Linked DNA regions of Drosophila melanogaster. The protein of the gene in region 3 interacts with the protein of the main gene of each other region in a pairwise test. Each region holds a gene or a part of one and is shown on either strand. Other genes may lie near its edges.

Evidence for each region. Proteins that work in one complex are often made in the same cells at the same time.
Region 1: the proteins of CG13022 (region 3) and CG10395 interact in a two-hybrid assay, tested with the Drosophila melanogaster proteins (one large-scale study listed by BioGRID).
Region 2: the proteins of CG13022 (region 3) and SP1029 interact in a two-hybrid assay, tested with the Drosophila melanogaster proteins (one large-scale study listed by BioGRID).

What each region holds. Positions count from the first base shown.
Region 1 is NT_033778.4:5,348,529-5,352,612, forward strand, and holds CG10395 (uncharacterized protein), read left to right. Parts: upstream 1-1,948; 5' UTR 1,949-2,280; coding exon 2,281-2,293; intron 2,294-2,351; coding exon 2,352-3,184; 3' UTR 3,185-3,192; downstream 3,193-4,084. Other genes in the region: IFT20 (intraflagellar transport 20), read right to left, coding at 3,193-3,588.
Region 2 is NT_033777.3:29,244,321-29,252,416, reverse strand, and holds SP1029 (SP1029), read left to right. Parts: upstream 1-1,965; 5' UTR 1,966-2,055; exon of another isoform or gene 2,056-2,227; intron 2,228-2,912; 5' UTR 2,913-3,207; intron 3,208-3,512; exon of another isoform or gene 3,513-3,734; intron 3,735-4,002; 5' UTR 4,003-4,010; coding exon 4,011-4,495; intron 4,496-4,558; coding exon 4,559-4,714; intron 4,715-4,775; coding exon 4,776-5,633; intron 5,634-5,692; coding exon 5,693-6,242; intron 6,243-6,513; coding exon 6,514-7,034; intron 7,035-7,098; coding exon 7,099-7,327; 3' UTR 7,328-7,456; downstream 7,457-8,096.
Region 3 is NT_037436.4:16,937,827-16,940,961, forward strand, and holds CG13022 (uncharacterized protein), read right to left. Parts: upstream 1,127-3,135; 5' UTR 1,117-1,126; coding exon 520-1,116; 3' UTR 504-519; downstream 1-503. Other genes in the region: Cpr73D (cuticular protein 73D), read right to left, coding at 1,412-2,757, 2,810-2,991.

The sequences.
Region 1 (4,084 bases), on a different chromosome or scaffold from region 3:
CTCGATTCACGAGAAGATAGATGCGATATAAAAAAAAAACAGAAACGAGGCAATGAATATAATGCAAAACAACAGTACCACTTCAACCTCCGAAGAGATAAGTCGTGCCACCCAGTTTAAAGCCCGGCTTCGCGTAAGCCCAAAACCCTTATCAGCAAAATCTTGATAAACAAATATCAACCACAAAGAGAAAATAAAATAAAACCAACAACAATACCGCCAACCCGGGCTCAAGCTCTTAACCAACAATCATGACAGACCCACCAAACATTTACAAAATTACTTCAAAAACATACCATCGCAATTAGGTGAACCTAAATTTATAATTATCAAAAGGAAAGACAACAACTCTTTCGAAAGAATTTCACCATTCATCATAAAGAAATCGGTGGACTTTGCCTGTGGAGGAGAAGTCGAGGGATGCAAACGAACAAGAGACGGCAACCTAAGACCGTCTATAATATTTTAAATCGTGCGGAAAAAGAGGGCAGGCTTGAACCTAAGAGTGGTAATGGGCGGAAAACCAAAATTAACAAGCGAGTAGACTGCCTTAAAAGTGATTGCGAACCCCCGAATCTCGGTCAGATCACTTGCTCAGGATATCAGGGAAGAATATCACCTAACTGTGTCACACGAAACTGTGCACCACGTTATCCTACTACCATAGGTACTCTTCAAGAGTTGCAAGAAAAATGCCTTTGCTATCAGAGGTCAATATTGAAAAGCGTCATTCAGCATGATAGATCATGCGGAAGAGTACTGGGATGACGTCATATTTTGTGACGAAACAAATATGATGCTCTTTTATAACGACGGGCCAAGCAGAGTATGGCGCAAACCGTTGAGTGCGCTAGAAAAACAAAATATCATACCAACAATCAAATTTGGAAAATTGTCAGTGATTATTTGGGGCTGTATTTCCAGCCATGGAGTGGGCAAATTAGCCTTTATTGAAAGCACTATGAATGCCGTGCAATATCTAGATATTTTAGAAACAAATTTGAAGGCCAGTGCAGAAAAATGTGGTCTATTTAGCAACAACAAGCCAAATTTTAAGTTTTATCACGACAATGATCCCAAACATAAAGAGTACAATGTACGCAACTGGCTACTTTATAACTGTGGCAAGGTGATCGATACGCCCCCTCAGAGTCCTGATCTGAACCCCATTGAAAATTTGTGGACCTACTTAAAGAAGAAGGTGGCAAAAAGGTGCCCCAAAACACGGCAACATCTCATTGCTGCGATAGTCGAAGAGTGGGAAAAGATCCCGCTTGAATATGACCTAAAAAAACTCATCCATTCCATGAAAAAAAGGCTTCAACTTGTAGCCAAAGCCAATGGGGGTCATACTAAATACTAAAAATTTTCAAATATTAACAAAATAATTAAAAAATTTATGATTAAACTTAGGTTTAGTGTTTTGTGTAAATAGTTTCTTTACACTCTCAAAAGTGTGTAAACTTGAAATTTGTTGTTTATTTTCTTGTATATTTGATATTTTGAATTTGTTTTTTAATTTATAAGTAAAATAAATATTGTTTAATTATATTTCATAAAAAAATTGCGTTTAATTAAACAAATAACCCTTAATTTTGACCTTTAAAGTTAAAAATTCAACTTATTTCACGGTGTGTAAACAGTTTCTTGACAAACAGTATATATATAGTATAGTATAGTATATATATATATAAAGTTTAGTAAAATAATCGAACATATCGATTGTAATGACACTAACATAAAAAACATTAAACATTACCCGACCAAAAATTCAAATAATTTGTAATTTTATTAAACTTTATCCATTATTCATTTATCAACTTATGCGCTTTTCATGCAGAATTTGAATTCGCGTGCATAAGTGCACATAGATTGGAGTCTCGACATCAGGAACGATATTTAGTTACTATTCAGTTTCATCGGTTATCGGTTCAACACAACCGCTAACCATGGTTTTGCTATGTATTCTGTGAATTGCTTAAATGCATTTAGGAAGGGGAATACAAAAATATATTGTGCACAATTCAAATTTTTTTTAGTATTATTATTATAATTATTATTATTATAATTATAATCATTATAAGTTTAAAATCATTATACTATGTGGCCAGAGAGATTGCACGATTTTCCCAGCCGTTTAATAAGGATGTCATTTGTGGAATTAGGCTATAAGCATCGTAGTGGATGTATGACCAATGCAATTTTTGGACATTTGAAAAAATTAAGCATAACAAACAAAAATATTGGCCGCTGCTACAGGACGAGTGTATTTCAATTGAAATGGTGAAAGAAGGTAATTTATATCAATCACCAAACGTTACATCTTAAAAAGTAACATTTTTTATTCATAGGTTCTAAGGATGCAGAGTACTTATCTGCTGAGTCTATTTCAAATTCGTTGAGACCTAAAGAACTTCATTACACTACAGATGCGCTTGCATCTAATTCAAATATTCATGAACATCCTCTTAGACGCACGAGAAATATTAGCACAAAAAAATTGGCACATGATGACAGTTTGCCTCACACGGGTGCTAAAAAAGGTAAAAGACGACGCAACAGTGATACGTCCAGTGAAGAGGATCGGTGGCTTACCGCCATAGAAACCGGGAAACTAGACGTTGTTGATGAGGAACTTAAAAAGATAAAGGACCCCAAACTTATGACAGCACGTCAACGTGCTATTTATGAACGGACACAGGACTCCGAAATAAATGGATTTATAGAAGAGCTAATTGCTCTTCCAAGTGGTTATAAAGAAAAGGAAAAGCCGCAGACTGCGGAGGAAATTCATAAAGCTCTTCTGAAATCTCAAAAACGAAAACAACAAGCTGACGAACGCAGAGAAAAAGATAAATTAAAGACAATGGAGCGGTTGTTAAAAAAACAGGCAACCAACAGGGATCGGATTTCAATTCGCAATAAGTCTTTACAACAGCCCTCTTATCCAAAAATAACCTATATAAGTGCTGTAACTGGCAACTATGTAATAGTTCCCCCAGGTTACGAATATCCTTTAAAAGTTCAACTCCCTCGTACACCTCCTCCTTCACAGGTGTGCTTTGTAAGCGGTTGTGAAAATCGCAAGACATATAATTGTTCAACAACAAATGTTCCATTATGTAGTCTTACATGTTATCGTAAGAATATCAACAAAATAAGAAAAACGTCTACAAATACGTAGATTTAATTTTAATATTGATTGACAAAAAAATTGTTTATTATTTCATGTTGCTCCGTTTCAATTCGCTGTAAAAACTGCAATTCGCCTTTTAAGCGTTCAAGTTCTACTGTTTGCTCAAATATCTCATATTGATAGACTTGCTGCTTGTTCTGGCGCTGAATAAATGCCGTTTTTAATTGATTTTGAGTACCAATAGCGCGTAGTTTTTCCTTATCGACATCTTTGGCAAACGTTTCAGAAATATTACAATAATTAAACACAAACTTTTTAAAAATAGTGAATGCTTTAATGTAGTTGAAGCATTCTTGTTTAAACATTATTTTGCTACTGGAAAGGTTTGGATGCTCAACTCGCACCGTGTAAATTTCATCTATAAACACACCAACTTTTTGAAGTTCTTCCATCTTATTGCGATTGTAACAAAGTAATACTTTCTTACTATGCGTTGCGTTGCTATTGACAACTGAACGAGTCGTAAACAAATAAGAGCTACGCGTTTGTATATAAATGCATTGAGGCTTTAGTATTTTTCTTTTGGAAATTATATTAGCTTTCAGTATTTGAATTATTTGAAATGCAAATAATAACCCTTTTTTAATAACCCGTTACTCGTAGAGTATAAGGGCATACTAGATTCGTTAAAAAGTAACAGGCAGTGGGGGGGAGCGTTTCTGACCATATAAAGTATTTATATTCTTGATCAGGATCAATAGCCGAGTCGATCTGGCCATGTCCGTCTGTCCGTATGAACGTCAAGATTCAGGAACTATAAAATTATATTTTACATTAATTTTTTTATAATTATTAATTAATTAATTTTTTACATTATTATTAGTCTTGTAAATTTCTATCGTTTTGCAAAAATAAATTGGTTGCCACGTCCACTCTAACGCCCTAAAA
Region 2 (8,096 bases), on a different chromosome or scaffold from region 3:
CACCCGACACTCGCATTCATGCAAAACAGACAATTTCATTTGGAATTTAACGCTTTTGTTTAGTTATTATTGTTTTTATGGTTTCGGCTTTAGTTCAATTATTTAAGCACTCTAGTTCAAATTTTAAAGATAACCAACGAACAAGCAAACGAAAAATGTGCATTATAATCTAAAAACGTGAGGAACCATGTCATTTAAATTTAAGAGGCCGATCCCGAAATCAGACCCCTTAATCATTTGTAGATGATAAGCAGAACAAAAAATGGCTAAAAACAAAAAAAAAAAAAGAAAACAAATATCACACAAAAACAAACACGCTCATTAATTTCATCCATAAAACTTTATTTATAAGATCTATCGTTTAAGAGTTGAAAGTTGTAAACTTCTGCTAGGTACAATTTACGCTTATTATTTGTTTATTTTTATGTAATCCGTAACCGAACAACAAGGCACCGAAACGCAAATGCAAACAAGAAAACAAATATTTTACCATGTAATGATTATTATTTAAGCAAAGCTTATTTTTGCATCAAAAAAGGCAATATTATTGAACAAAGACCATCAATTTTAAATATACATTAATACACGACGAAAAAGAACTGAAATTCCTGGAATTTTTATCATTCAAATGGCGCCAAATGCGCATTATGTGCGGGATTTCGGTACTCTATGGGTTTTCACAGAATTAACAACTTGAAATTGGCGCGCAAAGCGAGTAGTTGCACTTTGTAAATGTCAGAGGGCGCTGTGTCCGTAAAAAATTGAGTATAACAGCGGCGACTTTTTGGCAGACTGTTATACGAAAATTTGTATGTCACTTTATATTTCTTTAAATTAGAGATGGACACGTGATGCTTTTTTTTTTAAACCCACGCATACGATATACAAATACTCTTTTAAATTTGTTAACTTGTTCTATAAATTGAAGGCAAAGCCTAACACTTTCCGAAAATCGGCTTATGATAATCGAATTTCAGTAAATAAAGCAGATTATTTTCGTTTATAGCTTATGTTCCAATTCCCTTTCACACCCATTTCAATTTCTCCTTAAAACTATCAAATCTTTAATCCTCAAAAAAAGTGTGGATGAAAGCCAAACGAGGTTTGTGGCAATTAGCCAAAGGCAGGGCCCTAGCCGCAGTAATATTTCGAGTTACATGCCATTTTCCATGCCAAATTAACCCTCTGAAGACTGGCATGTAGTAAATATAATAAATTATAATTAGCAATTCAAATAATCAAAGTTAATTCGAACCAACAAGTAAATGTATAAATAAAACATTCAAAATTTGATAAATACTTTAATCGGTGACCTAGATATGAGGCTTTCCCCAAAGGGTTAACCCGCTAAAGCCCCTCCTGTGAGCCCGCATGCTGCGTTTGTCTGTCCGTCTGCACTTGGTTTATTATGGTTTGTTTTTTGCCACTTTTTGTGGCCCCTTATCTTCGGCGCTTCCGCCACGGGGGGTGGTCCAAAAGTAGGGGGTGTTTCAGGTTGAGTGACTGGGTGAACTCTAGGGTCGAGTGGCTCAAGTGCCCAGTGGCATACGAAATAGAAAGAAATGGGTTAATCAGCGCAATTAGGGTCAAAAACACGTAGTGACATCGCTGCGTATGTGTGCAGCGTGAATCAAAATTGCGCATACGCCGGGTAAGCCCTGCCATTATTTCATTGCAATCGCCCGCTGTGCGTTTCGTGTGGGTCACACATGTGCTGTTTTTTTCTTCCTTTTTTATTGTTTTTTTTACCTCCTTTGCTTGGCTGTTCAACTACATTGCATGCTCTACGATAGAACTAGCATACTGAATCTGCGATTCTCTGCGCCGACGCAAAGCAGCGTTTCAATCTCTAAGCCGTCGACGTTTCACTGGCTCTCCATTTCTCGGCTTTCGGCTTTTCCATCTGTATGGGTGAGCGGTGTAACCACGGGCTATCGTATAAGATAAAAGCGCCGTGCTCAGTAAACTTTAGATTCGCGTCGACCGTCGAACAGGTCGCACTCCTGCGTGTGTTTTTTTCGCTTTTCTGTGGCTGTGACTGAGGCTCTGGCAACGGTTGGTCCCAACAATCTTTGTGTGTCAAGCACCTCGAGAGTGCAGCTTGAACGGAATTGAATCGCAAAAAAAAAAAAAAAAGAAAAGAACGCCAGATTTGACCCCGAAATCACGAGACAAGTACAACTACGCACTCGAAACAAGTGCCGAAAAAAGGAATAGAGTGACACAAGTGTGTTAAGAACACAAACCAAAAGAATATATGTACATACATATACCCAAAGCCAAGAAAAAACAAGTTTAAGTGCTGAACTGTGCACCATAAATAATGTGTTGTCAAAAATAATTCCATTACGTCTTCTTAGTGAATATTTTTTATATTAAAACTGTCCTCTGTTAAGACAAAAGTCCGCAAATCCAGGAAGAAATTATAAATTAGAAAGAAATTATCAATTAGAAAGAAATTATCAATTAGAAAGAAATTATCAATGTGCATATTAAGAAGTTTTTTGAACTCATTGTATTAAATTATAATTACCTTTAAAATACCTTTCACATGTATTAGCACTTCAAAGCACTTTTACTTGCTTTATTGACTTTGAAATTATTCAATGTTCTGGAAGCTAGTTTCTTGACCGCTGCTGTACTTACTCCCAGTTAACTCGAAGGGATCAATTGATGGGTCAATGTCACAGCAGCACGTGTTTGAAATTTTTTGAGAAATCACAACAAGTTAACAATTGTATTTAATTCAATTTCAAGCGGGCAGTTTTATTGTCTTTCGATTCGGGAATTTATTTTCACGTTTTCTTCCTGTATTTCCTGTATTTAATTAAAACACTAAAACAATGAATTCAATGAACTTTTATTGATCAGAACTATTTATTGATACTTACCTGATCAAAAACATATATTAGATTATACTTTCTCTATGCGGACCCAATCTACATTTGGTTATCATATGATAATCTGCAAAGTTCATTGACCCGCATTTACATTTATTTATATGCAACCAAAGAACCCAGAAAGCCAAACCAAGAGAACAACTTTTGCATAATTAAGAGTGAAGCTGAAAGAAGTCCAGAAAAATAAAAACCAGCAGCAGGGATTGCAATCTGGTTAATCCAGTACAGTACAAGAACCTTTGCAGGTTTCCTTCTTAGCTCCCTTGGGATATTCCGTATGGAATAGATACCCAGTTACTACGTCAAGGTATTCAAGTGTTAAAGTGTGCGTGCTTACTTAACAAAATAGTTAAACGTTGTACAAAAAGTTCAAAAGCCGAAGTGAAGGCGTGGGAATATAGTTGATGAGTATAATAAACTAACTTTGAAGGCAACCAAGATTTATAGATGTTTTTTAGGCATAGTATTAAAAAGTAAACTTATATTTATGATATACAACTATAGATATTAAAACAAACAGACCAGTTTCTCTTAGTTCCCATGTGCAGTTAACGGCAGAATATTTATTCTTTACTCGATCAGCTGATCAACTACAAATATTCCGATTTCATTTGGTACCCCTGGCAAGGGCCATAGTTAATCAACTACATATATATAGTATGTACATTTATCAGGTAGCCAGCGCATAATGCCAATTGTGAGGAGAGTTTCAATCGGGTTTCATTGGCCCAGACCTTAATACGTGCCCGGCATAACGATCCTAACATAATAAATAAAACAATTTGCATTAATTTGAAGTAAATCAGCGAAACCGCATAGGCAGCAAAAAGCGCGGTGCGAATTATACAGTGGACATCAGTCAACCATTGTGTTTTGTTCAAAAAAAAATAATTGTTTATCATTAACTGGGCGAGAGAAAGCGAAGCCCAAGTTTTGAATAAATTGTATTCAAATTGATTACACTTTAAGTAGAATTATCCGAGTTTTCTGTTAGTGGATACCCACTGTTTATGATTTGGCAAAGTGATTTGGTTAATTGCTTTAGTTTGCTCTGATTGAGCGCCCCGCTAATAAGTGATTCGCCTTCCGCTCTTCCCCACAGTTTTGGTAATGAAGTGGTTTCTGCTGTTCGTGGCGGCCCTTGGCCTGGGATTAGCCACCGCCGACTCATCCGCCGACTCCATCGAGACCACCTACAACTACTACCGCCTGCCCACATCGCTGCGCCCGCAGAAGTACCATCTCCGCATTCTGACACTGCTGGAGAATCCGGAGGACCTGCGTTTTTCCGGTTCCGTAAAGATCCTGATCGAAGCCCTGGAAAACACCAAGAACGTAACGCTGCACTCCAAGAATCTGACCATCGATGAGTCCCAGATCACCCTGCGCCAGATCGGCGGAGAGGGCAAGAAGGAGAACTGCGTGTCCTCCACGGCGGTGAATCCATCCCATGACTTCTACATCCTCAACACCTGCCAGGAACTTTTGGCCGGCAACACCTACGAGTTGTACATGCCCTTCGCCGCCGACCTGAACCGACAACTTGAGGGCTATTACCGCAGCTCCTACAAGGATCCCGTGGCCAATCTTACCAAGTGCGTTTGCAGACTTTTATGAAGACATAGAGCCAGGTATTGATGGGTTATTTCCTATTGCAGATGGATCTCGGTTACCCAGTTTGAACCGGCATCGGCTCGATTGGCCTTCCCCTGCTTTGATGAGCCCGATTTCAAGGCTCCTTTCGTGGTTACCCTTGGATATCATAAGAAGTATACGGCTATAAGCAACATGCCCGAGAAGGAAACCAAGCCACAGTTAGTCATCACATAACATTCAGAACTTTCCACAGAGACTTCATTAACTTTATTCTTCCAGTGAAACCCTCGCCGACTACATATGGTGCGAGTTCCAGGAGTCGGTGCCCATGTCCACCTACCTGGTTGCCTACTCCGTGAACGATTTCTCGCACAAGCCCTCCACCCTGCCAAATAGCGCTCTATTCCGAACTTGGGCCAGACCCAATGCCATCGATCAGTGCGACTATGCCGCTCAGTTCGGACCCAAAGTGTTGCAATACTATGAGCAGTTCTTCGGCATCAAGTTCCCGCTACCCAAGATCGATCAGATTGCAGTGCCCGATTTCAGTGCCGGCGCCATGGAGAACTGGGGTCTGGTGACCTACAGGGAGATTGCCCTGCTCTACTCGGCGGCACACTCCTCGCTGGCGGATAAGCAACGAGTGGCCAGCGTGGTGGCTCATGAGTTGGCGCACCAGTGGTTTGGTAACCTGGTCACCATGAAGTGGTGGACCGACCTGTGGCTGAACGAGGGATTCGCCACCTATGTGGCCAGTTTGGGTGTGGAGAATATCAATCCGGAATGGCGTTCCATGGAGCAGGAGTCGCTGTCCAATCTGCTGACCATTTTCCGCAGAGACGCCCTGGAGAGCAGCCATCCCATCTCGAGACCCATCCAAATGGTGTCGGAGATCTCGGAGAGCTTCGATCAGATCTCATACCAGAAGGGCTCCACGGTGCTGCGCATGATGCACTTGTTCCTGGGCGAGGAGTCCTTCCGCTCCGGTCTGCAGGCCTATCTGCAGAAGTTCTCCTACAAGAATGCTGAGCAGGACAATCTCTGGGAGTCGCTCACCCAGGCAGCTCACAAGTATCGATCTCTGCCCAAGAGCTATGACATCAAGAGCATCATGGACTCATGGACCCTGCAAACTGGGTAGGTCCTTGCAGGATAAGCTTGTTAAGAATGACCACTAAATATCCTTTCTCTGACAGCTACCCTGTGATCAACGTGACGCGAGACTACGCTGCCAGGACGGCCAAGCTCAACCAGGAGCGCTATCTCCTGAACACCCAGGTAGCCCGAGCTTATCGCGGCGGTTGCTGGTGGGTGCCACTGAGTTACACCACACAGGCGGTGCAGGACTTCAACAACACGGCACCCAAGGCCTGGATGGAGTGCGGCAAGAATGGCGAGAGCCTGCCCAAGACCATTCAGGACCTGCCAGGACCCGATCAGTGGGTGATCTTTAACACGCAGCTCTCGACGCTGTACAAGGTCAACTACGATGCCCAGAACTGGAAGCTTCTTATTGAGACCTTGACCAATGGAGATTTCGAACGCATTCACGTGATCAACCGAGCTCAGCTGATCGACGATGCCCTATATCTGGCCTGGACCGGCGAACAGGACTACGAGATCGCCATGAGACTGATCGAGTATCTGCAGCGGGAGCGGGAGTATTTGCCCTGGAAGTCGGCCTTCGAGAATCTGAAGCGTGTGGGCCGCATTGTCCGCCAGACACCCGATTTCGAGTTCTTCAAGGTGGGTTCTGGTCTCTTAAAGTATCCTAATGCTCTTCTACCACGTGCTCCCCGTATAATCTCATTCTCATTTGTATTTCGAAACAATCCTTTCAAAATTGCTCACACCTAACTTCATCTATACACCTAACTTGTCATGGGCAACCCACCGACAGTTGTTCTTTGTCGTAAGTCTGACTAGATAGCACTAGATATTTTATAATTTGACAAATGCCGGGTATATGAACTTTTATTAAAGTCCTTTTAAATGAATTTATTCATCCTCAATGCAGCGCTACATGAAGAAGCTGATTCTGCCGATCTACGAGCACCTGAATGGCATCAACGACACATTCAGCGCGATTCCGCAGCAGGATCAGGTGCTGCTGAAGACAATGGTGGTCAACTGGGCGTGTCAGTACCAGGTGGGCGATTGTGTGCCCCAGGCCCTGGCCTACTACCGCAACTGGCGAGCGGAGGCTAATCCCGACGAGAAGAATCCGGTTCCGATCAACGTTCGTAGCACTGTGTACTGCACCTCCATAAAGCACGGATCCGATTCGGATTGGGAATTCCTGTGGACGCGTTACAAGAAGTCGAATGTGGCGGCTGAGAAGCGCACCATTCTGACTGCTTTGGGTTGTTCGAGGGAAGTGTGGCTGCTGCAGCGTTATCTGGAGCTGACCTTTGACCCCAAGGAGGCCATTCGCAAGCAGGACTCGATGTGGGCCTTCCAAGCGGTGGCCTTCAATGAGGTGGGCTTCCTGCTGGCCAAAAAGTATTTCATGGACAACGTCGACTTCATCTACAAGTTGTAAGTTTTCGCATCTGTGATGGATAGAACCTCGGCTAAGGGTTTCTGTTTTTTTTTTTTTTAGCTACCATCCGCTCACCAAGGACATGTCCCGCCTACTCTCACCGCTTTCCGAGCAGGTCATCACGCTGAGCGACTTCAACGAGTTCAAGGACTTCGTGAACAACTCCCGTCAGTCGCTGAAGGGATTGGAACAGGCCATCCAACAGACACTGGAGATCATGCTCACCAATGTTCAGTGGAAGGAGCGAAACTACCATCAGATGTCCCGCTCCATCCAGCAACTGCTCTAGATTACCCAGCTCCCAGTCCAGCCTCTCATCAGCTCACTAAGAGAAGCAACTCTTGATTTCAGCAGGAATGTTATGAATGTTTAAAGTCGCTTAAATAAACTATTTAATACTCTAGTATTCGTGTATCTCAAGATGAAAGTCTTTTCATTTCTGAATTGGAAGTGGATATATAAAGAATGGGAGGTGAAAGACCTTTTAAATTATTTCCTAATAGCAAGTAGTAATGGTTAAATTCACTTTCTGCGGCTAATATAGCGTAAAATCAAGCTATTAAGATTGAAGACTAACATAGTATGCATTGTAATGAATTTCATACAAAATATATATATTTTTTAATTTTAAATACCAGACCGGATTCTTTCTTATACATCTCGAAAAAGACATTTTAAAATAATTGCAATATTAACTATATACTGCGAGTAATGGGATGTAAAATAACGTATACGCCGGGTAAGCCGCACTCTGTTTTGCAGCTGATAATAATATGATACTCTGAGCTGCTAATTTTCCAAATTAGTCTCGCTTTTCGACCTCTCTGAAAATATTGCTCTCTGAAAATCAGAAACTCAGTTCGATCGTAGAACTAGACGCATTCGGTCACCATCCTCTGGTGAGATCAGTAGTGCCACTAGTTGCTATCGGTTAGTTTTTTCTAAGCAAACCAATTTGTTGTTAAATCGTGAAACACGTTCTAAATGTAATGCCAAATAACTAAAGTGATTCGATTGTGTGTCTATGAATGGTTGAACTTTGATTTAAGACTGTGTCT
Region 3 (3,135 bases):
AAATTATGTCCAGGCAAGAAAATTTTCTATTAATGCGATGACCGCTTTTATGGAACTCAAGTTATGTTTCTTTTTAAAATGAAGAAAAATATTCTTTCTACCGTCCTATTTAGCATAATATTATATTCCAAGATTTACAATTACAAAAAGAATTCATACATTTTTGGACATCTATTTTTACGTACATTTTTTTTTTAATTTCACCATTATTTATAAATGTTAATATAATGTCTTCCGATCCAAAGATAATTTTGTGCCGCGTAGAAGTTATGAAATCCAGAGCTCTCGATAATATTTGACTATTGCTTGCATTCTATAACCAAGCAAAGCTGCACTCTTTTCTTTGAATGAACTCTGTTTTACAAGTCATTCATTCTTTGACATATGTTTACAGTTCAGATCCCCGATCACGTAGGTCTCAAACACGACAGGTGACACTGTCAGATCTCCAAAGACTTCCAGTAAATAACGCAAAACACCCAAGTAGAACGAGCAATAGTTTTGGCTAATATATTTTATTTACGTGTAGCCACGATATTTATGCAACTCTTGCAGGCTAGTCAAGGCATTTGTTTGGATTCCGTTTCCGATTTCGATTTCCGAGTGCGGTTCAGCGGCGGTGGTGGCCTTGGCCAAATTGCCACCCATGACCACGAATCCGATGCCGGCGCCCGCCTTGTAGCTCAGCTCATGGTAGCCAGCCTCATCGTAGTAGGAGTACTTGCCCAAAACATTTCCCGCCTCATCGGTGTGCTGGGCATGCGACATCTGGTCGGTGCTGAAATCAAAGTTTTGCTGGCTTTGCCGGTGCTTCAGGTGGTTGGTCGATGCTAATTGGTAGCCCGCACTCAGCGAAGATGTTGCCACTGCTAGGTTATCCTGTGTATTGTAGGAAATCCGGGAAAGTGGATTCTGTCTTGTCCTCAGAGATTGATGCACAAAGTTCAGCGGACCAAAGGAATCCAGAGAAGATGCCCCAAAACTAGGCTTAACGACACTCCTATCCAATCTATCGCCATCCGTGTTGTAGGAGTATCCTTGTCCATTGAACTGCATATACACTTGCGCTCCTTGAGCACAGGAAACTATCAGCGAAGCAATGAAAAGCACCAACATCATGTTCAAGTCTCAGAAACAACTAAACTCCGAGCATGCTAAGTCATGGGGTTATATGTGGATTCAAGGAAACCGCAATGTGCAGATTAACCTGCTTATACCCGGATCCACGGATATCAAATAACTATTCGCTAGAGATACAGATACAGTTTGAGATACAGATACAGGCAAAAAATGTATTCCGCTTTAAATACTGTTTTAGTTTCCATGTGGAGTCAACCCAGTTTCGGTTACTCAACACTGATCACTTAGAGCTACGCACTACAAACTACAGATCTACAGATCCAATGGGTGCTTAGTGCTCCCTTGAGGCATTCAGCTCGGCGATCTCATCCTGACGCAGTGCCTCCGACGGCGAAAGTCCGATCCTTCCGCCCAAGGGTATTATGTCGATGTTCTGGACATGGGCACGCACACTTTGACCAGGCGGCAGGCCCACGTACCATTTACCCACGTTCTTGATGACGGTGGAGTCGCGGTGTCGCTGCACCCACTCCCGATCCCTGTCGATCTCTAGAATTCGGTGGTTGGCGGTGACCAGAGGAGGCAGTGAACTGCCCACATCGTCATCGTTGAGGTGGTAATTGTCCCCGGGTCCGCTCATGGCACTGGTGCCCGATCCACCTGTGGGCGGCAGGTAGCCCAGGCCGGAGTCGCCTTCCCTGGAGGCTCCAGCTCCACCTCCTCGACGACTGCTTCCACCACCGGCAGCACCTCCCCTTCCTGCTCCCCGCTCAGAGGAGACACTTACTCCACCAACGCCGCCGAATCGGTTTCTGTTTCGGGACCCACTAACATTGTTTCTCGTGGAGCTACCTGAACCACCTCTCTGAGAGCTGTCACCTCCGGCATCGTATCTAGTACTGCCCCGTTGCGGACTACCCGCAGGGAACCCTCTTCTGTCTTCTTTGCCATTAAAGTTGGTGGAACCAGAGGAGCTGCTGCCAAGCCCAATGTCATCCCCTTGGTCATCAGCATGGTGTCCCAGATTTTCATCAGCTGCCCCAGCATCACCATCTCCACGATTCCTATCTCTTGCTCCATCAGCCGGCTTTAGGTAATCTTTGCCTCCGGGTCTGCTTGGAGTACGGCCCCTTCCCGCTCCACCTGCACCACCACTTGGCCCCGAAGCTCCTACCGAAACACTTCCCCCACCTGATCCACCACCACCTCCCTTCGGACCTAAGCCACCACCAGCACCCCTGCCAAAATCATTAGCCAGTCGGAAATCTGGATCTGTCAAACGAAAATCAGCCACAGAGGGATTGTTATGGGTTCCAGGACCAATCCGATTTTGCACCACCCGGTAGCCAATTCCTGCTCCAGCTATATACTCCACTGTCCGCTGCACGCCCTTGTCGTCCAGGAAGGAGTAGGTTCCTCGCACCAGGCCATCGGGTGCTCGACTTTCTGCCCGTCGGTGATCCGAACCTGAGGCGATCAGCTTATAGCTTCCAGCCGGCCCCCTTTGCACAGACATCTTGCCGCGTGCTTTGGGATGGGACGTGTACAGAGGACTGGAGTACGCCACAACAGATGGGCTGTCCGGCACAGCGTTGGAGATCTCGAATCCGGTTCCGGCTCCAGCTGCATAACGAACACTGTGCCGCTCGCCCACGTCGTCCAAATAGGAGTACAGACCTGGGATAGAATCAGTTAATATACTCTTAAGTACCATACTCGCTAAACTCGCCTCTTATCCTATTCCCGGAATCATTCTCCTCGCTGCGCGACTGATCCGGAGTGCGAAAACTAAAGCTGTAGGATGGATCGTCGAAGGGATCGGCCAGCGGATCGTCCGGACTTCCCCGCGGCAGTACCGGATACTGAGCCAGGTCCATTTTCCGATGGATTTTCGGTCCGTTCACGCGAAATCTATGTGGGAAATAGAGGGAGATTAATTAGCTACCGACACAATGAGTGGGGATTGGGTAAACCCTTTCAGCGGAAGCGGACTTGCACTGCAATTTTGAATATAGATTCGATCTTAGCCCGGCACGCCATTACTTCGATTACTAC